Neodiprion lecontei: one gene and its partners. The main gene of each other region encodes a partner of the protein of the gene in region 3 in a complex. Links are inferred from orthologs where the notes say so. Each region holds a gene or a part of one and is shown on either strand. Other genes may lie near its edges.

Evidence for each region. Proteins that work in one complex are often made in the same cells at the same time.
Region 1: DNA primase large subunit (region 3) and DNA primase small subunit share a complex: the UniProt entries of both Drosophila melanogaster proteins name them as parts of the alpha DNA polymerase complex. The link is inferred for Neodiprion lecontei from reciprocal best matches to the Drosophila melanogaster genes Prim2 and Prim1.
Region 2: DNA primase large subunit (region 3) and DNA polymerase alpha subunit B share a complex: the UniProt entries of both Drosophila melanogaster proteins name them as parts of the alpha DNA polymerase complex. The link is inferred for Neodiprion lecontei from reciprocal best matches to the Drosophila melanogaster genes Prim2 and PolA2.

Annotation. Positions count from the first base shown.
Region 1 is NC_060261.1:38,829,203-38,836,686, forward strand, and holds DNA primase small subunit, read right to left. Parts: upstream 4,560-7,484; 5' UTR 4,309-4,559; coding exon 4,206-4,308; intron 4,085-4,205; coding exon 3,934-4,084; intron 3,712-3,933; coding exon 3,536-3,711; intron 3,456-3,535; coding exon 3,257-3,455; intron 3,149-3,256; coding exon 2,938-3,148; intron 2,848-2,937; coding exon 2,466-2,847; intron 2,389-2,465; coding exon 2,369-2,388; 3' UTR 2,266-2,368; downstream 1-2,265. Other genes in the region: uncharacterized protein LOC107219690, read right to left, coding at 1-292, 404-758, 836-1,053, 1,131-1,300, 1,361-1,676, 1,946-1,964; uncharacterized protein LOC124293032, read left to right, coding at 5,942-6,764, 6,866-7,484. UniProt on the Drosophila melanogaster protein: Catalytic subunit of the DNA primase complex and component of the DNA polymerase alpha complex (also known as the alpha DNA polymerase-primase complex) which play an essential role in the initiation of DNA synthesis.
Region 2 is NC_060266.1:1,915,450-1,923,080, forward strand, and holds the start of DNA polymerase alpha subunit B, read right to left. Parts: upstream 4,766-7,631; 5' UTR 4,141-4,765; coding exon 4,062-4,140; intron 3,800-4,061; coding exon 3,574-3,799; intron 3,447-3,573; coding exon 3,392-3,446; intron 2,655-3,391; exon of another isoform or gene 2,336-2,654; intron 1,928-2,335; exon of another isoform or gene 404-1,927; intron 1-403. Other genes in the region: dynein axonemal assembly factor 10, read left to right, coding at 5,129-5,395, 5,461-5,961, 6,071-6,168, 6,267-6,474. UniProt on the Drosophila melanogaster protein: Accessory subunit of the DNA polymerase alpha complex (also known as the alpha DNA polymerase-primase complex) which plays an essential role in the initiation of DNA synthesis.
Region 3 is NC_060261.1:14,009,271-14,016,963, reverse strand, and holds DNA primase large subunit, read left to right. Parts: upstream 1-3,153; 5' UTR 3,154-3,331; intron 3,332-3,534; 5' UTR 3,535-3,540; coding exon 3,541-3,691; intron 3,692-3,911; coding exon 3,912-4,249; intron 4,250-4,415; coding exon 4,416-4,649; intron 4,650-4,723; coding exon 4,724-4,861; intron 4,862-5,013; coding exon 5,014-5,392; intron 5,393-5,492; coding exon 5,493-5,663; intron 5,664-5,761; coding exon 5,762-5,868; 3' UTR 5,869-5,956; downstream 5,957-7,693. Other genes in the region: L-threonine 3-dehydrogenase, mitochondrial, read right to left, coding at 6,083-6,243, 6,832-7,098, 7,523-7,693. UniProt on the Drosophila melanogaster protein: Regulatory subunit of the DNA primase complex and component of the DNA polymerase alpha complex (also known as the alpha DNA polymerase-primase complex) which play an essential role in the initiation of DNA synthesis.

The DNA of each region.
Region 1 (7,484 bases), about 25 Mb from region 3:
TCTGTTAAAAATCGTACAAGCAACAATAAGGATGTAGATGTAAAAAAAGTAGACATATATATATATGTGAACAATTTATTTTTACCTGTGTAACTGAACGCAGAATACGCTATAGCGAGCCTAGAAGTGGGACCAAAAGTTCCTCTCAGGCTAACATGAAAGCCGCTTGCAACTGGGGCAATGTGCTCCCTTAATCTAGGAGGTTGTAACTGACTCGCAGGATGCCGAAGAATCTCCAAAGGAGAAAGTGCAGATGTGGGTCCTTGCTTAATTGTCAGTTCTGTGGTGCCAGCTGTAAATTTGAACAATTATATGGAATACGCAAAACTACGAATACGAAAAAATAGGGTTTACTTGGTTTTCTGTTTACACACCATTTTCAGCATGCAGAGAAAAGGCTTACCCATGTCAGCAAAGGTGACCACCTTCAAGTACATATGAGTTTTCATGTGGAGAAAATTTTTTGGAGGTCTGATCAACCAGACACAATCGTAGGTCTTCGCTCCTTGATTGACCATGTCCATCATTGTAATGGCTCCGCCCAAATTCTCAACGTACCCTCCGCAATCAGTGATGGGTTGTATTGACTTGTCGTATAAATGACCAATGACAAAGGAATAGAATGCTTTGTAGCCCAGACCAGTTCCTCCATTCGCATAAAATCTTATGAGAAGTGACGGTCCAGAGCTGACTATAACCGGTGGTCGAAATCTAGCACCGCTGCTAACATCCAGACGCTGTCCATTCCAGTCGTAAAACTATGGATTGAAATTGTAAACGTTAAACTCTTCAAGGATATGGCACTGAGAAATTATGATCAAATACCCTTTCTCACCTCAACGATAGAAACTGTAGCGAGTTGAAAATCACTAAAGAGTACCCTGACTCGACAAGAAGGAGCTTCTGCTGCACATGTTATTATGTATTCCATTCCTAAATCCCTCGGATAACGCGCCGGAAAAAATGGTGAAGTTAGTATACCACCACCAGTGTTGTTTAGTGTTTTTGCGACTCCGGTCACTATATCAGCACCTGTCAAGTGTAATCTATTCCCTGAAAGAATGACTTTGTTAAATTATAACAATGGGAGATAAACCTCTGAATTTATTGTAGATGAGTTATCGACTCACTCTCAGCTGTATATTCCATTGCAAAAGCATGCTTGTGTGATTTGCTGTACAACAAAGTGATAGATAATGTACGCGTGCTAGATCTGTACGTGAGAGGTGTGTACAAGCCGCAAAACGGTGTACCAGATACATCTTCGTATGGAGGTTCTGCGATCCAGACGTAATCGCACCTAATGAAATGAATTAAGATATTGGCGGCGATTGATTGTAAAGTTGGTGTTGTAACGTACCTGCAGGGGTTGTCTATCATCATACTTCCATCTCCACAGTGGTGAGACAGTTCGAGGTGTTTAAATGTCACGGTGATGATACAAGATGGACAAGAAACGAGTTCCAAACTGCACTGATTGTGTGAACTGTTGGTGACGTAAGCTCGTGATGTTTGTTGTCTGGGTGCATTTTTGACAAATGTAACATTCTTCGCATAAAGAATACCTCGCTCCCCGAGTTCCAAATAAAGTCGTCGCCCGTTGTTTTGCCCACAGATGTCTTGGTTTCGAACAAAGTTACTTGCACCGGTCGAAAGAATAGTGAATGCGCCGATGGCTGTGTTTAAATGAAATTGATGAACTTTTCATAACAATTGAGAGATAGTAGAGTATTAAATGGATTACTTTATCTTACATAGAAAACAATTTTTCTATAGCTGTCGCAACACAGATCAAAATCAACATTTAAATGAAATGGAATTGTTTGCGAGTAAGCATATTTATTTATTAAATATGCTTATTATATTTATTCAAGCTTGATAGTTACGAGAAATTTGATACGAAAAAAACCACTACTTTGCATAAATAAAAATTAATCTTACATACCGCAAAACAAATAAAACATATCCAGAAGAGCGAATCAGACAATCTGTCGGCTGGGAAGCCAGACATGATTCTGTTTAATTTTATTAGCCATACTGCAGAGTAACGTACATTGTATAATGGCTTATAAAGCTTCTATGGATTCTTTTACGCATAACTAAAATTCTCTTCAACAGCCACTTGGTTGTACACTTTAAAATAAACCTGGCTTCTTTGAAATAAATCAGTATTCATTATTGATTGTGAGCGGTTCAGATGCGTTTATAGTAATCTATTAAACTGTTGCGAAAGAGCAATTCAAAATCATTCATAAACGTATTAAACGTACTTATTTCTTTTATTTTTCATTTGTAAGCGAAACTTATTGATTACTTAAAATTAAAACACGAGTTTCATCTTATAGTTCACAGTTATTGGTTTGCATTACTAAAACTCCATCAACATATCTGCAACATAAAATGACATTTATACAATAATAATATATTATATCAGTCACAAAAGATACGAGAAAATAAAAAATTACCACTCTGCAAAATCTTCTGTCCTTTTGAAGCATCTTCCAAATTCCTTAAAAATTCTTGAAAAACATGAACAGATTTGTTCAAGCTAGTTTTTTTATAGTCCTTGATTTTTCTCCTAGTGTTTGATTCTTGGATAGAGTCTTCTTTGGCGTCGAATGCATTGATTTCCTCGATTAGCAAGTTTATCGTTGGTACAGTTAACGGGTTAAATTTACCAATAGCTTTTGGGCTAAACGGCACACTGACTTTACCCGATTTTGGATGAATACAGAACGGCGATTTCAAAAGATGGTTCATTCCCTTGGTCACGTTAATATCCAATCTCGGATACGCGTACTGGATCATTATTTCCTCCAGAAGATGATTCAGACGCCATTTTTTACCCTTTAAAGAAGATGAAAGTTGGAAATGAGTTTTTTTAATAACATCAAGAAAATTGAAGATACTACATTGTACAAAATGTAATCATCCTACCGTTTGTTTCTCGACTTGGTAGCAGGCAGTGAAGGCCTCCCAACGCTCAACACTAGATGTATGTTTTTTGAATAAATCCTTGACCTGGGATCTTAAACTATCGTCAAGAATAAGTGGTAAGAATTTGGCAACACCTTCTTCTGTTCCGAGCATATTCTGCTCCTCGACGCACATTGATACGAACAGTGGTTCTATAATATTTAGTGCACGTCTGTAAGATATAAAATGAATAAACATCTGATCTAACAGATTCTTGAATGCAAATCACAAATGGAAGAATCAAGAACTCATAAGCATCCAAAACGGATTACACGCTGACCTCACAGAATGGTGTAATTTTGGGCCAGGAAAGTTGACTTTCTTGGCTTTTAGTTCTCCACCAGTAATAAGCTGTAAGTATTCGGCAACGCAGCCGCGGGTCATCGAATTCAACTCGCGAGCTGATTTATCGCACACCCAGCAATGTATACCTCTTCTTCCAGAAAATACCCACAATAGATGCTCAAAGCCAAAATCCTCTGATATTAAATTTCAAGTTTTAGGTATTTATCACTTCAAGTTTCAAATCATTTTACATTAGTCATTGACAGTGCTTTACCTCTAAGTGCGGAGTCCAATATCTGGCAGGCAATCACCATGTACTTCCAGCATTTTGTACATATGTCGGCGCCTGAACAGCAGCTTCGAACATCGTCATAATCCGTCATATCTATATCAAAAACAAGTTCTCTTTCTACCGGCAGAAAACTTGAAAATTTCTTCTCATCTTTTGGGCTAAAGAGAAGTCGATCAATACATCGATTATTATTTCTACTGACGTAAAAAAAAAACAAATACTGGAAAATTCCGGATAAAAATAATGGAAGATTGAAGAATTTTTGGTTTTGGAATTATGAGACTGGAGAGCTTGAGTAAAAAACGAATCTGACAACGAGCAGGCATAATTTGAATTGTTGAATTTAAATAATAAGTAGACCAAGGTATTTCGGTTCTTACCATATATTGTATATCGCACCGATATCAATTTTAAACGGCAAGAGTCGTCTGCATTCCAGTTGTAGTTCATCTTGATTAACGAAGGAACGATATCGTATGTAGACGTCATCTCTTACGGTGAAAGAAAATTCTCTGCGTGAAAAGACGCTGGCTGAAAAGAAAAGGATGTACCGCCATTGATAAGACTTTGGATTAAAATTAAAAGAAAGACCAACAAATTTCCCTCCTACAGAAATAATAAGCCTGCGGCTAAAATTGACAAGTTAACTTACGATCACCGTAGCTCAGCCACCTGTAGTAGTCGTGAAACGGAAAAAGCCGCTGATAGTAAAGAGGCAAAAGATCTATCAGATTCTCTATTCCCTCGGTTGACATCCTTTTAGGTTAGGCGCGTTTATTGCACGGTCGTATCGAATCTTTTCTTCTGCATTCAATCAGCAGTTTACTCACGATATCATTCAATCACAGGACTGAAAATTAAACTCCGTCAAAATTCTTTCGCACGTTCACGAACACTGCCACAAATTAAATACACAACAGGATTACAAATGTTACAATGTGTACACGCAATTTGACAGAATTATTTTCGCGCCAATTCCTAGCAGGTTTTTCGACCTGAACGCGATCTGTCAATCACAATCTTAACTGTTACGAATTGTCGACTCGTAATTGGCTCGATTCAGATGAATGATCCATTTGCGCCAATCAGAGATCACAACTTTCGCCCTCAAAAGCAGCTGACTTTACCTTCATTAATCCCTGGCAGGCACATCCAACCGTTCATGTCAAATATCTCACATATTAAAATTATAATTGCTATCTATGGCCAAGTAACTGTTTTAAATTATCATAAAACAAAATATATTTATAATAGTACAGTGTATTTTAAGCTTACTTTCTTTACACAATGCGGATGCATCCACAGACGTAATTGGATAATAACTGCATATTTTGACAACAAGGTCACATTGTAGTACGACGTATTTATGTTTATACGTATTTTGGATATGAACAGTGCGTGTAATTCTATGAATAAAATATATCATATCACCAAAGCGTCGGTACTTTGCCATAAATCATTTCAATCGTAATTACACGTTTTTTACACCTTACCTCGTAAACTCAGGCTACATCAATTTCGCTAATCGTATTCGACTCCCTTCAAAAAAATGTCAAATTTTTTTGAGTACAGTATGGGTACGGCGATATTTTATAGGTCACGAATTAATATTTATACGTATTTATAAGTTTGATGCAGGAGTTGTTCAAAACAGCTTGTTTACATTTTCGGTAAAATAGCGATTCAATATTTTATTCAACACACCGAGATTCGCCGATAAACAGCAAATTAGGTGTGTTCTTCAATCACCTACCAGTCTAAATGCGACTTACCGAATTCATATTTCATTACTGCTGTCATTTATAATGCCCCTCGTCTCTCGTGAGTGGATTTTGAACGATGATTACAAATTTTACTCACATATAAAAGTTGACCCTAAGCTTTCGCGGCATGATGAAGTTGGGGCAAAATCAGATGGAACTCTCTGGTGGATACTGGAACGCAAAAATGGGTTGTCCTGTGTTTCTAAAATCAAAGAATACTTTCAAATTTGCACGTACGACCATGGTATGAAACTTGACACATGCATCAAAGACAAAGCAGTTACCCAAGGTTTAATCAAGTTTGTGACTTAACAAAATCACGTTCGATGCTTGGAAAGAAGAATTAAATATTTAATATTACTGCGCAATGAAGTTTTTGGTGGTAAAAACATTGTGCTTTCAAATACTATTTTGTCAAGTACACAGTTTAACCAAATCAGTGAGAGGTCAAACATTGATCGTGAAAAATTTGAACAATATATTGGAATTGTTTTTTGTCGATTTGTTGAAACACTATGTGGAAAAAAGCGAGCCTCGACATATAACAATTGTCGGAGCATCCGCCAATGATCGCAGTAAAGCTCAATCGCTGCTCAACTTTTATCCTTACATTATGTGTACAAATATGGAAAAATGTGCTTTCTTGGAAAGGTTCAGCGAAAGAACTCTTGTAATTGTATTTTTGAACAAATTCAGCGAAAAGAAGTTCCGAAAGAACGTCGATATTCTCTCACGGTGTCAAACATGCCACGTCCTCTTCGTATCCAGCACGATCATGCCGGTTAATAATATTCGGTCGATTTTCATCTGGGCTCATGAGCATAATATGCCATACACTGAATTCGCACAGCTCGCGAAGGACGTCGTTGAGCTCTACAGTCGTTTCGTGACCAAGAACTGTTCTACGGAAGCTCGATTAACCAGAGTTTGGAGACCCGGGATGGACTTGGGGCAGATGAACACCTGGGCCTTCAAATTGAACGACCTAAACGGGTGTCCAGTCTCCGTAAGCTCTTTGACGTTCACGCCAAAAATGATGATCAGAGAGAGCGAAAATGGTTCGTTGATCATTGTTGGCGGACGTGAAGGTAAGCTGCTCCTGACACTTGCCGACAAACTGAACTTCACCATAGCGTTGAGACATCCATCGATGGCTGATCGCATGAAGTACTCCCGAAAAGTAGCTATCATAAACGACGTTATTAATGGTACTACCGAAATTGGCATCGGCCGGTTGCGTCCGACGAACGAAATGCAGAACAAGATTGCAGTTTCTGCCGCGTACGACGACGAATGCATAACTTGGGGAGTTCCTCGTGTACTGAGTTGGAAGGACGACATCGTGTTCATGGAATTTTCCGGGACAGTGTGGGCTGCTGTTGGAGTGGCCTTCGTGGCCAGTTGGGTGCTTGGATACGTCCATCGGAACATCGTTTTATCTGAAAACGGTAAGCAATCATCGTCTCTCAATGAGGTGTCCAACAACATTTGTGGAGTCCAATAAAACCGACATCCTCGTTGACGCTCTCAAATGGCGTTTGGATTTCAGTTAAACGAAAGCACGTGGGATTCTTCAAGGTTTTATTCGACGCCCTGACACTCCACCTTGGGAATCCGATAAACCACGTATCCTTTTCAACGGGAGGAAGGTGCGTTTTGATCATCTATCTGTACTACGCAATGGTCATAACAACAGCGTATAAAGCGTCGTTGGCATCAATTTTAGCGACGGATGGAGGTTCCTCGGTGATCGTGGATGTCGATGGGATAATTAAGGCGAATCTCACCGTCATTGGTTCACTTTACGATTACAAAATTCTCAAGGATCAAGAAAACGACAGTGTAATAACCCAGCGACTCATCGAACGCTTTGTTGTAGACAATAACGATTCGGCAATTTGGGATCAACTCACGAGGGTCGATAACAACTATGCTTTCCTCGCGAGGAGATCGGCGTTGAATTGGTTCAGACAGACGATCGCCAAGACTCAAGAATCCGTAACTTTCGACGTGTTCAACAATTGCGTGTTGGCTTATCACCCGGTTGTCGCTTTGCAGAAAAAATCCGTCCTTCGCAAGTCAGTTAACACCGTGATTCAAAGGTTGACAGAATCTGGCATTTTGAATCATTGGGATCCCGACGAGCATGATTCTGAGAGAATATTGAA
Region 2 (7,631 bases), on a different chromosome or scaffold from region 3:
ATTGTCGAGACTCCCGCTTTCTCTCGCTCTCATATTTTCGTCGTACTTCACGATCTTTCGATACTTCGAGAAATGTGGAAGACCCGAATGCGCGGTGCAAGACAATCCATTTTTACCAATCAACGAGACTTGGGATCTTTTTTATATACTGCTCGATTTTTTTGCTTCAAGATCGATTTTTTATAACCGAAGAATTTCGCAAGGAGTCAGAAGACGACGACGAATTGCTGAACTAGGCGTCGAGACTCTCCACTCCACACAGGACACGTACACACGAATCCACGATCGATTTTTCGTCTTCTTATTCTTGTTTTATTGTTCGTTGTTCTTCCTCTTCGTCTTCAACTCTCCCGAGTTATTACAACCCGATGCGTCGCGGGGAACGCGATACGACAACGCGACACGTGAAGAACAAGAACGTGAACGTGAACGTGAACTGTCCACTTGACTTCTCTTCTCTCTCCTCTTTTTCGAGGTGTCGCGTTTCGTGCGGTGATATAAAAACGACAGTAGCCCTCATCCTCGACCGAATTCACAGCCGTTATTTTCCTACACCAAAATCTCAACTCTACTACTAAAGTCTAAAAACTTGAATTCAGAAGACCATCTATGTTACACTATGTAGTCGGAGTTTCTTTTCCTTAATCTTTTCAGTATAAATTTCGTGATTAGGCTCATTTAACGTTTCATAACAGGAAGTGATAGAGTGATTTTCGAATCGATTCTACTGAACTCCAAATATCAAGCACACAAACACAACGACTTGGTATTCAATATTGTTCAATGTTCAACTTTAACCTGTGACTACAAGTTGTATAGATGATCTTGAAACATTTGAATGTCGAGTTATTACAAGTTTCAAGTTTTTTAAAGTAAGGAGTCGAGATTAGGGTCTGAGGAAGGACCACGAATTCGACCGAGAGACGCGGGAAGAGAACGAGACGCGTACGCGCCGGCCGACGGCCATAAACTTGACTCGATGCTGCTCTCTTCTCGAAACCAACACCGACACCGACACACACTGACTCTGGTTACAGAAACTCGGTCCCGGCACAAAGAACGCGCGACAGTGTTGCCAACACACGATCTTTCAAACGTCGCTGACCGTGCACAGCACCGTATGCTTCCCAGGGACGTAATGTTAGGTCCCAGAGCCCGGACCCCGATTTTGTAGTATAAAAACTCGGCGAATTACCCTATAAACTGGACGGTACTGAAAATTTCAAGAAATTTTCTTCCACGATGCTCGGACCTTTCGGCAGTCGTTTACGATATTACAACACTTGTGACTGCCGTAATGTAGAATACTAAAGGAGCGGAATTAACAGCTCGACGAATTAACGTGGTATCGTCTGTTTCAATTTGCATAATCAACGAATCGAGTAAAGTTCATCTAATAGAAAGATCGGCTGAATTGATAATCAAACTTTCCAAAAATTATCCGACAATATATTCCAACTAGAGAATCAAAAAAATTGACGTCAAAATCAAGGTTGGAGTAGGTTCATTTCCCCATGGCAAAAAAGACAAACAAAGAGATCGCGAGTTTGGATAAACAATGTTGTATGAAATTACGCAGGTCCAGAATAATGCGAAAACCAGGTACGATGTAAATCGTATCGCGTGCTTTTAATAATGTACAATCATTTTTCGCCGATCGGAAGCGCGGCGCGTTTTAGCGAGAGACGAACACATGCCAATCCGCATTTCCTTGGAGATTCATATATATACGTGTCGTTCTCTGTCTGACGGGTTTGAAAAAAATCGAATCCGAAAAGCCGTTGGAACGAACCGGACTTTGATTCGAGAATTCACGATGCGTACTCCGAGCGGCCGACAAACAGGCGGCTCGATATTCCGTTACCTCCAACGTTTCCGCGGCAAGGCATGTATTATACCCGAGTGAGGAATTTCCTCTCGCTGCCAGGTAAATTGATCTTGTTTTAAAAAATTTTTTTTACTACTCCTGTCTTTTTACACCACGATCTTGTTCGAACGAGTTCTTTGTTATTTTCGAAGCAAGTTTGAACGAACGTTGCAGTTTTAGATTCTCTTGATTCTCCGACTCGTTGACGACTCACATAATAATAATATTATTATTACTATTATTATTATTATTATTATTATTATTATTATTATTATTACGATGAAATTGCGGATTTATATTTTACAAAAATAGTTGAACACATCGCGCCGCGTGAATTTGATCATGGAATTTCAATGAACGCGGACGGAACGAACAAACGACAAGGTTGAAACGTCTTTTTACGATAATTTGCAACGCGCGAAAATCTTTGCTGATGATAAAACATGTATTCATGAAATTATATTGCAGCTCGAAATTTTCGTCAAATTACGAAGCGGCGCGCGTTCGCTTGACGTAAGCTTGGCAACGGCGCTTTCATCAAACTGCCTAACGCTCTGCTCGGTTCCTGCTCTTCTACCACCACCGGCTGCATCGGTCGGCTAGCCGTCAGGATCGGGAGGAGAGGCGGTTTCACGGAACAAGGGGAGAGGTAGAAAAGAGACGAGAGAAAAGTGGGGAATGAAAGAGAGAAAAAGAGACAGACACAAAGCCGGATAGGAACCTTGGGAGATTCGAAATATTTCCAAAATTCGCCGGAGGGAAAAAGTGGAATGGAAAAAAAAAAACCGTACGAAACGATGATTCCTTTCCATTATCATGGGGAAAAAAGTAAACCACAATTTCCAACACACGTAGAGACACGCACATACGCATGTAAATCGATCTTCTTTGCCTGGGAACCAACCAATGAAGAGATTATGAACAAAAAATGAAAAGATTAAAAAAGTTGAGGCAACTATCACCAGCGAGCTGAAAACCTGCGCGGCAAACAAACGAAAAAAGTAACAGCCAAGAAAGCAAAACTCGTAGTGTACAGAACGTGTATGTGATCTGCCTGCTCGACTGAGGATCGAAAACGAGTATCTTGATCTCTAAATGATACCTGCGTGGCATAATACATGGAGGAAAGGATAGAGCCTGCAATGAGGGGGAGATACAGGAATGAATCACACGATGGCGCATACTTTCGATAATGCCTTTATAATGATGGGTTGTGGAAATATCCCCCCCCCCCCCCCCCCTCCCTCTGCCCCTTTAGCTCCGCTACTCTAAGAATATATCCTGACATTATTATCTTCCACCTGCGGTGAAAAGAATTTTTGACTATTCTCCGCTGTTTGGGATTTCTTGAATAGAATTAAGTAATCATTTATCGGCCCGTAAAAGCTGCAAAAGCGAGATAAATAATTCTGGGAAACTGTTGCAATAAAAGATACAATGCACGTTTTTATAAAAACACAATAAAAACAATGGAAAAATTCATGTCTTACAACTATTATGGAAAAATGTGTTGTTTTTACTCACTCTTGGCGTCGTTGGGGTTTTCGCACCGTAGAGCTCCAAAATATCTTCGTCATCACTGGGACCAAGTTAAGGAATCTGCTTGTTATTTTGAAAAGTATTTGTACCAGGTCTGGCAGTTTGGCGAATTGAGTTTCCAAGGTTTACGTGCAAGAATTTCAACTCAATTTGTTTGCAAAGGATACTTGTACTGTTTCATTGAGTGAGAGTTATACACGGCGAGTTTCGACAGTTTGGCATCAGCCTTTGAATTACCAGCGGAGCCCATGTCTTTCTTCAACTCGTTTCTTTCCATCCGCAGTAAATACTCCACAGTTGGGTTGTCGCCTCGGCACTGTGACACGCTGAATGCCATCCATGTTTCGACCAGCGCTTCTTCGTTTAAATTGTACAAATCGCAGAGATCGAGACCTGCGGAGGATCAACCATGTATTAGAAAATAGACTGTTAGCTATCAAAATGTAGGTAATCGTGCATGTGATCAGTTTTCCCAAATCAATTTTTCGGATTTCGGTAGAAGGGCCAAAGAAAACAGTCTACTAAAACGGTACGGTTTCTTTTCCAACCCCCAAAATTAGCGAGACGCGTTTCGACAGATATCGAAATTCCTCCTGCAGGATTTTAACTTCTACGTGCGAATGACGAACGCGAATGCTGAGATTTCGATACTCACATTTATTGAGAGTCGCCTCGTCGTTAACGACGACTCCGAAGACAGCGAAATGCTCCTTCAAAGCATCCTTCAACACCATCTTGTTGTCTGAACTCTGACCGACTGCTCTCTGTTTTCCCGCCAAATATATTTACGTACCTCGAGGTCTCTGGAATAACGAACATAACCTCACTCAATATCACGCTCTCACTCCATCGGTGTCTCTGTTTTTCCCTCCTCTACATCATGACTTGAGAAGGACAAGCTAACCATGCAAGTGCACGAGGCTAATTATTCAATCGTAAAAAACACCAATCACACTGCTATTTGAGCGATAAAAAATCTGCCGAAAAATCAACGCGCATTGTATCAACAAGAAGAGAAACAAGTGATTGTCGGCGACGCGAAACGACCGTTGTAAGTATTCAAACTTTCCTGATTCAAACTCCTTATTCTTCTTATCCTTACGCTCTGATTGGCTACTAGTCACATCCGGTGCTTCTCCACTACGCCGTTGATTGAAAAATATAAAGACGCGTATCGCTGAGCAAATTTTCCTGACCTGGGAGCAGAGAAGTATTATGCATGCGAATACGCTCATCTCCGAAATGGTCTATTAGGATTTGGCATTCCGATAGTACAGTAATGTTTATTAATGCTTTGGAAATCCGGCTAACTTGTTTTCGGTCCGAAACAAAATGCGAGTTTGTTTCTATAAGTATTATATGACAATGACTGACAGTGCTGGAGGTACCAGAGAGATTGGGAGTCATTGTCACATAATTCATATAGAAAAGAACTCGGATTTATATTTCGAATCCCAAATAAGTTAGCCAGAAGCCCAAAACTTTCATGAACATTATTGTACAACAGAAATGTGACTTTGACCATCGGTAGATTACTGCGAAGTGCTTACCACTTGATGAAAATCGCAGAAGCGATAAATAAGGCATACAGCTAATAGGAGGCGTTGGTATTTGTTTATCGCGTGTTGGCAGTCATTTAAAAGGCTGTCTCCTCGTGTCGATATCGGCTGGTAGAATTTCGCGGCTGAAAGTGCAACCAAGTCCGTATCGAATGATTTAAAAATGGATAAACTATCCAAGCCGCAGATAATATGTCACATCGAAAAGTCAGTGAACTATTCTTTGTTCGACGCTAAGTGGATACCAAGCAGCGCAAAGTTCGTCGTAATGGGTTCGAGGCCGCGAGGATCTGGCGTTTTTCAAATATACGAAATATCCAGCGGGGAGCTTAAGCTGATCAAAGAGATCGAGCGCTCTAATCCGATGAAGTGCGGCACCTTCGGAGCGTCAAGTTTGAGAGAGAGATACTTGGCCGCCGGAGACTTTAAGGTAAGAATCTGAGCCGCTGTTACCAGCTCTTTACTCGCTGTCGATTAACAATTGATCATTTTCAGGGTAAACTGAATATCTACAACCTGGAGGATCCTGCGATTCCTATTTATTCGGCAAATGCTCACAAGGAGATCATAAACTCCATTGACGGCATCGGCGGGCAGACGATAGGTTGCGGGGCTCCTGAAATCGTCACCGGCTCCAGAGATGGCAGCGTCAAAGTCTGGGATCCGCGGCAAAAGGGGCGGCCAGTTGCAGTAATGGAACCAAATGAGGGCGAAGACCGTAGGGACTGCTGGGTTGTCACTTTTGGCAACTCGTACAACTCTGAAGAAAGGGTCGTCGCGGCTGGCTATGACAATGGCGACGTTAAGATGTTTGACCTAAAGGCGATGGCTCTCAGATGGGAGAGCAACTTGAAGAACGGAGTTTGTGGATTGGAGTTTGACAGAAAAGATATCGCGATGAACAAACTGGTCGCCACCACTCTTGAATCCAAGTTCTACCTGTTTGACCTGAAAACTCAACATCCCAAAAAAGGATTCTCTTATCTTTCAGAAAAAGTAATTTGCAGTTCAGTTGTTTTGCTTGTAATTTTGTCAAAATAACCAGAAAGTAATTATTACCCTTTTATAGAGCATTGCAACAAGCCATAATCCGACTTGATTTCAGGCGCATAAATCAACTATATGGCTGGTACGTCATCTGCCCCAGAACCGAGAGATATTCATGACGTCGGGAGGTGGAGGATCGCTATGCCTTTGGAAATAGTAGATAAATTTCATTCACTCAAGTTCATAATTTCCTAACAAATTTTTAGTCGAATGTTATACTCACAATGTAAAATTTCTGTTCTTGTGTGCCGCAGCCAATATCCTGAAAAGCGAGTGACAGCAGACGCCGATGGCATAGAGCAGGGAGTAGTCGGTTCAGTATCTCTGCTCCAGAACAGCACGCTCTCTTCTCAACCAGTCAGTTCGTTGGATTGGAGTCCAGACAAGCAAGGACTTGCCGTCTGCACTGCGTTTGATCAATGCCTTCGTATCATAATCACCACGAAACTGAACACGTACTGAAAAAAAAGAAAAGTATCATTTTCTGCAAGATTTTTTTCAAATCTGTCCGGCTCGTTACTCTTTGCCGGCTTTTCGTACATTCCATGGTATATGCAGGATTATTAGCAGTATCATCTAATGGTGGGCAGAAAACCGTTCACGAGAATAAAATGGAAGACGTAAAATTGTATCAAGTTGGATGCAAAAACTTTGAGACTCAGTTCTGCGATTGAATCTAGAAGGAGAAAATAATTATGGAACCCAATAACGTATTTGAGAGCTCTCAGCACAGTACATTGTAAATAGTTTCATTTCTTCGCTATATATATGTACCGAATATCGCTGAATAGAAGAGCTTCGGTAATATACGCGGAAAAATAAAATAAAAGACTCTAAGACTTCCATCGATCACAAAGCGAGTTGTAGTATTTTTGTTTTGTAGATACAATTCAACGAGATGGGAGAAGAAAAGAAAAAAAGGTGTCAATTATTCTTATCGTATAATTGAACACGATGACGTGGTTTTTTTTTTTATCGATTTTTATAATTTCGATGTAAATAATTTACCATCAAAATGTTCGGGCATTATTTGATTCCATAATGCGTAGCGAATTACCGGTAACAGGGATACAGAGAGTGAGTTACGAGAGTATAGATATAGTGAAATTGTCTATAGACGAGCTAGGTAGGTAGGTAGATGGGTACAGGAATAAGCTACGGGAGTTTCTGCGCTGTTCTATCGATTTTCAAAGCCTGCGCAATTATGCAACAACATTAGAAACCAGAGACAGAACTGGGCACGAAGCGGGAGTGAGATGAAGAAAGAACGAGGTGGGGGACATGACCGACTACGAAAACACGTATGTAACGAGTCTAGGTGAAGGAGAGAAGAACAGAGTACAGAGTTTCGAGGAGGAGGAGAAGAAGAAGCAGGAGAGGAAGGGGTTGCGCCGAGATAAGGGGAATAATATGTTATTGGGGCAGTCTATTTGTAAGCAACCGCTTATTAACGCCGCTACCGGAGTCGGGCGGCCATTCGGCGTCGTTACGCAACGGCCATTTTGGTTCCGCTGCGACCGCGTCGTGTGATGGCATCCGAGTCCCGTAGCATCTCGATCGCTCGCCTAGCTTTGCTCTTTGCTCGCGCACCGCACACGGGCAGCGTGAAATCGAGGGTA
Region 3 (7,693 bases):
GCGCATTGGGACTGCGCCCAATCGATTCCTCTCGCAAAATTACGTCAGAATAATGCATGAAAGAATTTTTCGAAGCACTTTTCAAAATCGCGAAAATTTTCGCCCAAAATGCAAAGGGGTTAGCCTTACTTTTTTCTTCATTTTTAAAGCTGAAAATTTTTGGTCTCAGATTCGATTCATATGACCATTTCCTGACTAATTGGATCCCCAGGAACTCAGAAAACGCAGCGAAAAGAGCGTAGGACCAACAGCAGAGAAATGACGATGAAAATTCTTCGTTTTCCAGCTGTAACTTTTTATCCGTTGCTCGCAGCGCATTGGGACTGCGCCCAATCGATTCCTCTCGCAAAATTACGTCAGAATAGTGCATGAAAGAATTTTTCGAAGCACTTTTCAAAATCGCCAAAATTTTAGCCAAAAATGCAAAGGGGTTAGCCTTGCTTTTTTTTCATTTTTCAACCGAAAAATTTTTGGTCCCAGATTCGATTTAAATGACCCTTCTCTGACTAATTCGACCCCCAGGAACTCAGAAAACGCAGCGAAAACAGCGTGGGATCAACAGGAGAGAAGTTACGAAGGAAAAAGCACCTGCTGAAAAATGTCGAAAACACAGATTCTCGTTTTTCGGCTGTAACTTTTGATGCGTTGATCGCAGCGTATTGGGACTGCGCCCAATCGATTTCTCTCGCAAAATTACGTCGGAATGGTGCATGAAAGAATTTATTCCAGCACTTTTCAAAATCGTGAAAATTTTCGACAAAAATGCAAAGGGGTTAGCCTTACTTTTTTCTTCATTTTTGGAGCTGAAAATTTTTGGTCTCAGATTCGATTCATATGACCATTTCCTGACTAATTCGACGCCCAGGAACTCAGAAAACGCAGCGAAAAGAGCGTGGGACCAACAGCAGGGAAATGACGATGAAAATTCTTCGTTTTTCAGCTGTAACTTTTTATCCGTTGCTCGCAGCGCATTGGGACTGCGCCCAATCGATTCCTCTCGCAAAATTACGTCAGAGTAGTGCATGAAAGAATTTCTCCAAGCACTTCTCAAAATCGCGAAAATTTTCACCAAAAATCCAAAAGGGTCATTTATATTATCATGTCACCTATTAATATTCAGACTGCTGTATTCTATGTTAGTCACATATATTATAGGGGCTTTAATAAGCCTCATTTATTCGAGCAAAAAATATTCAGACTTCACTTCTCTACGCAGGGAATGGATCGTCGGAAAAAGAATTAGTATCTAAGGAAAAATGAGTTTTAATTGATATTAATGATCCATTTTCAACATTCAAGAAAAGAATGTTGAATGCGAAATTGACATGCGTCAAAAATTGTTTCTAATATTTGATGAATGTTGAAATCGTTACTTCCAGAGTAATTAGAACTTATAAAACAAAAGGATCTGAATTTGATGAAGAATGAGTTATCGATTGGCTTGTTGGAATTTGGAATAAAAGTGTTCCACGGAGAGGTGGAATAGATCTGCATACTTGTAGAGAACGCTAATGAAATAATGCATCGACTTGCTGTACAAATAGTTTGAATTTCTTTGCAAATTTTGGGCTATAGTCTTCAGTCTTGCTTCACCCGTTTTCAAAATCACGGATTTGTTGAAATAAATTTCTGGAGTCAAAGCATTTCGAGATTTTTCAAAATTTTAAATTGCATTGGTTGAGTCGTGGTTTGAGTAGTATTTAAAGTGCATGTTTCTGATGTTTCTCAGATTTCGCATATTTCTGCAAATAAAGATACGTTTTCGACATATCGGTGGTAATAGCTAACGTTGATAATTTTTATCAAAGATGAGCAATAGCTAAACAGAATAGAATAACTATATACAATTCAGCGTTGGTTTCAATCAAATCGATAAAACACATTAAGAAATCAACATGTTGGGATACATATACCATAAACTGGATCAAAATCGGAGGAGGCAACCCATAAAGGGTTCCTTGTTAGTGTCGAGTTGTGTCAGAAAGTTGACATAAAAGGAAAGCGACCTATATATTTCGGCAAAGTAGCGATAAAATAGTTTTCCTTACCTATTCTTTCCTGCATAAGGGGTTAGGTGGGTTTCAAAAGCTCAAAATAGGTACATTTTTATGAATTTTTTTTTATTTAGTCAACAGAATATTTCATTCCATCAATTTAACACACAAAAGATACATATTTTATAAGTAGTTTGTGAAATTTTCATTGAAAAATATTGAAAATTAAGGCGTGGACACGTCGTCTGCTATGACCCCTCAAAAAAAAGTTTTCTCGGCGTAGTCAGGATAACTCATGACAGATTCATCTGAAATGCATAAACCAAAAATTTTCCGTTAGTAGATGTTTAAAACTCGTGCTTGGACGAAGGAAAAAAAAAAACAAAAATTACATTTTTGGCGGCGTTGAAAACAAAAAACACTTATTTTGAGTAAAATTTGCACCCTTCATGGCCTTGAAAAATTACTTGGAATAGAGAAAAAAAAAATTCCTTCGTTCAAGCACGAGATAATGTTATTTTGAAGAAGTGTGCAAAATTTGAAAGAGATCGGTTCATAAGTTTTCGAGAAATCGTGACTACCGATTTCAAAAATGTAGTTTCGAGAAAAACGCGATTGAAGATTTCCAGAATAGTAGCCAATAATCGTACTTACACCGTATAATGATGCAAACCCACGTTTTTTCCACGTGCCATCACCTGACACGGTAACATCTGTCGTATCTTCAACATTATTTTCATTACACGTTAATTTTTTTTCTTGATTTGCAGCAGACAACCTCCATATACCTGCGTCACGCTTGGTTATAGCCTGATGGGTGAAACATCCAAAGGCTATATCTCTTAGAATATGACTCGGATCGTTTTAAAATTTTAAAGGAATATTCTCAACATATTCAATTATAAGATAAGCAAAAAAAAAAAAATTCGATTTTTTGAAATTTGGAAACCCACCTAACCCCTTAAAACTAATCTTTACAAGTTCACATGTAAGGGTGCGTTCCGAAACTAGCTGGCAGCACTAAAGGTTCCTAGGACAGAGGCAGAGCTAACCATGAATTCAATAGCGCAAAAGAGATAAACGATTAGTGGCAGCACTGAGCACTAATTTCGGAACGCACCCAAAGTTGTAGGGGGCATGGCGATTGGCAATGTCGATTAATAATTAATAAATAAAATTGGCGGCTGCGACGGTTGAATTCCAGATACTTAAAATATTGATTCTTGTTTTCTAACAGAGTACATACTTTTTGCTACACCTCAGAAAGGTGATTGCGGTTGATTAACGATACCAAGCTGAATTACCTTTGTATCTATAGGTTGAGTTGATATTTATTGGTATGTTGAATAGGTTATACTTATTCAGTTTTAGCGGGAAAAGTTAATTGTACACTATTGCACACTCTTGAGTCCTGTCGCGAAACTTTAGTCTGCAGCAACTGTTTTGTAATATTGTATTTGACATATACTGTAATATCGCAACTATTCAAAGTTTAATTTTATGTGCTCGTAATACTCTGAATCTCGTTTCCTGTTTTAAGTGGAAAATGGACTATGTAAAGAGAATATCACGCATCAAGCCCGAAGTCTCAAGTCTTAAGGAAACCTATCCACATGATCTACAATTATATTGTACACCACCTTCTGGTGATATTAGCTTGGCTGAGTTTCAAGAACTGGCACTCGAAAGATTAAAAGGTAATGATCAAGTTTTGAGCAAAGCAACCCTCATTCTGAGAATCTTATAAATTTATTTGGCTCAATGGGATGATAACTTCGTAGAACAAATTACTCAGATGTATTACGCAATGCTATATTGAAGTTGGTATTTTGGTCAAGGTTCAGGTTGACATGATAATACTATTCGTCGCCGCAGACAAAATATTAGATTCTGAGGCAAATATTATGTCTGTTGCAGTTCTGCGGATAGTTGAGTCTGTATATGTGCAAACTGATATAGAGTCAGATAAGCGTCTATCAACAGTATTGAGCGAATTGAGAGATGACAATAGTTTGTCATACTACGTTAAACTTCTTCAGGGCACTGGATGCGGTACTCACAGTGAATCAGATTTGAAAGCTAGAAGAAAGGATCATATTTCCCACTTCATATTACAGCTGGCATACTGTTCAAGTGATGAGTTGAAAAAATGGTTCATCAGTAGAGAAATTGAACTGTTCAAGTTAAGATACAGTAGCTTAAATTCTGAGGGTCTGCAGCAATTCTTAAAAATAAGTAGTATGAACTTTGTGCCTGTAAGTATGGACTGATTACATACCTAGGTTCATTTATCAAAGCTTAAACGTACGACGACAGTTCCCTAATGTATTTATTTCTGAAGTTTTGATTATTCCATCTATTACTGTGTTCCTTTCTATGCTTCAAATAACATCCGTTGATTGAAATTATTTTTTTTACTAGATATCACAGAATGAAAAAGAAGTAATCAAAGAATACCTCACTCAATCAACAGTTGGATACACAGATACTTATATAGAGGTTCACGATTTTTATAAGGTATCATTTTGTAAGGTGACCGATTTAGTCAGGAACAGAAGAGTTTACGTCCACTCCGGCTTTGCTTATATCCCTGACAAAGAGCTCATATCTGTATTTGTAACAGTTTTGAGGATGCAGTTAGCTTCAGCGTTGGCAGTAAGTACGAAAATATAGAAATTCTATGCGCAGCAAAATTATACAAATAACAGTATGACTATTTTTCTGTTTAGTACACCAAACGTGGAATGCCAATTTTAAATACAGATGACAGACTTTTCACTTTATTGAACAGTCTTCACAATACTTATACTGGTGACGACTTTACCATTTCAGATGGTGCAGCTGTTCCCATTGAAAGTTTAGATGCGGTAATAATATTTTATGCACATACCTACATATAATTACATATGTCCAATATAGTGTTTGACTGTGTAACCTTCAATTAATAAATTCACATAGATATTCACAATGAAAATGGTGTACGGATAGCACTTAAATAGTTGGAAAACATTTTTCTCAGCTTTCAAAGTCCTCGTATCCTCTTTGTATGAGGTTCATGCACGACGCACTGAGGGCGAAACATCATTTGAAACATGAAGGTCGGCAGCAGTATGGTCTATTCATCAAAGGAATTGGTGTGTTATACGAAGACGCAGTTCGTTTCTGGCGTGAAGAATTTTGTAAAAAAATGGAACCTGAGAAGTTTGAGAAGAACCACTTATACAATATAAAACACAACTATGGGAAGGCAGGGAAGCGAACAAATTACACCCCTTACGGTTGTCTGAAAATCATCCAGTCTAATGTTGGCCCTGAACAAATCCATGGTTGCGCATTCAAAGAGACGGACATAAAGATTCTCAAGCAAAAAATGTTGAGCTATGGTCTAAATTCAACTGGTATCGTAACTGTTTCCTTCTAGGATTTAATTCTGACTTGAACTTTACAGTTAGGCAATTTCGGTTGATAGCATCCTAATCAAATTATTTTGTCTTTCAGCTATTAACAATATAGCAGGATATGTTGAAAGTGGCCATTACCAAATAGCTTGTGGAAAGTATTTTGAGGCTGTGCACAAATGCCCACCACCACACGCGGTAATACATCCAAACGTCTACTTTAGAGACAGCCAAAGTGTACTGACAAATGGAAACTCATCAATTGGAACAGGTGTGTGACGAAAAATCATGTTTATAATTGCTTGACTTAGATATTGTGTTTAATTCCGAAAAATTATTTTTTTATTCCTCTTTATTCTTCTCTTTCAGGACAGTCAATGAATGGTGAAAAGAACGAAGGGAAACAAACAAAACCTGATCCAGTGATGGATGATGCAGATGACATGGATATTGTACTGAGTACGGCCGTATTATAATCATCAAGCGATATTTCTTATTAATATATATATATTATAATTATTTTTTTTTACAACAAATATAAATAGACATCTTTCAAAAATTATACGACCTTTCCAAAAAGTTCAACTAGTGTTCAACTAGTTTCTTTTTTCATGCAGCTGTTGCACTGTATGACTGGAACGCAAGGGAAGTTACACTAAGGACCACTTCGAAAGTTGAGTACTGGATTGGTTATACGTAGCTGTTGACTTGTTGCTGGGTATTTTTAAGTAGGAAGTTTTCGTTTACGTCTCTAATCATGGCAGAAACGAGACCCTTCATACCGTATTTGTGTTTCCATCCCCAATCGCGTCGTGCCTCGCTGTCGTCAAAGACTTGGGGCCAGGCATCGGCTAAAACATGATGCAGCATTCGTCATAAATAGTTTGCTTTCGCATCAATTCTATCGAAATGTCCCGAGGGTAATTCAGTCAGGGCAGTCATAAATTTAACTGTTCAAAATGAACCAAATTCGAAATGAAATGGAGGTAGGTGAAATTATTGCAAATAGCTTGAAATCACGATAGCGCTGAAGAAATCGCGTGACAAGAGTTGAAAGGAACGAAAATAAATATAAATCTTATGGTAAACGCTAGATGATTTTAATTGATTAACATCCTATCTGTTCTATCTTATTACGTGCTTTCGTTGTTTTTCAGTTTACCAAAGGATTTCCGATGATCCTCGAGTGTTCTAGATGATTTGTGATATCATTTGATTCTGTCCGAAGCGAAAATCACTGACAATCGGCCTAAAGCGCTCGGAAATCAATGAAAATCAATTAAAATCACTTGGTAAACTGGAAATCTACGAAAACCTGGAAAAAAATAATGATTTGGAATAATTCATCTGATTTCCAAGTGAATGGCCCCTAGACATGTCCTATGAAGCTTTGAAATGTGTCCGTTGATCATGGAACGGTTTTTCCCTGTCTAACTTACCGATGAGCTGCCGACTGTCTGGCTTATACGTGATTTGTAAATCAGGGATATAATTCTTCATCTCGGTGAAGAGTTCTTCCGGGGTAAAGCTCATTGCAGTCACATTGTAAACTCGTCTGCCTAATGCTTCGTTTGGTGCATTTAAGAACTGAAAAAGCGCGTTGAGACAGTCCTCGATATACATCATAGGCATCCTTGTATGCGGTTCAAGATAACATTCGTACTTTCCGTGACGCATACCCTCGTGAAAGACCGATATTGCATAATCTGAAAAGATTATCAGAGATCTCCGTATTAAATTGCATTCTGGTTGTAAATTGATGCTTATTCATCACGTCGCGATGCGATTCTTTGACCTATATTTATTCAAATTTTCCACTCAAATTTCAAACGCATTATACCTCATTAGAGTTTAACCGCAAAGTTTACTTGTACGCGGTCTAGTTGCTGAGAAAACGACTGGCAAGCTGCTGCTATACAACGGAATAAAAGCACTATTATGTATTTTATAACGAATTATTGTAAATCATAGATGAGCACTTGATTATGCATATGGATACCCGTTAGTATGTGGATGAATTATAGTGCGTACTGCTTATACAGGTTATTCAAAAAAGACGTCTTCTAAATGAAATTCTCTAATTTACTAGTAGCGCAGATTATTAAGTGTTGGAGAAGCGATTTTATTTACCCGTGGTGCCGCCGCTGGGAAGGTCGCTGCTAATTACACCTGGGAACCTGAGACATCGGAAGTCAAGGCCAAATCTGTGATGATAATATTCTCCAAGGAGTTCTGCGTGAACTTTGCTTACTCCGTAGATGGTTCGTGGACGCTGGATTGTAACATTCGGCGTCGGATTAC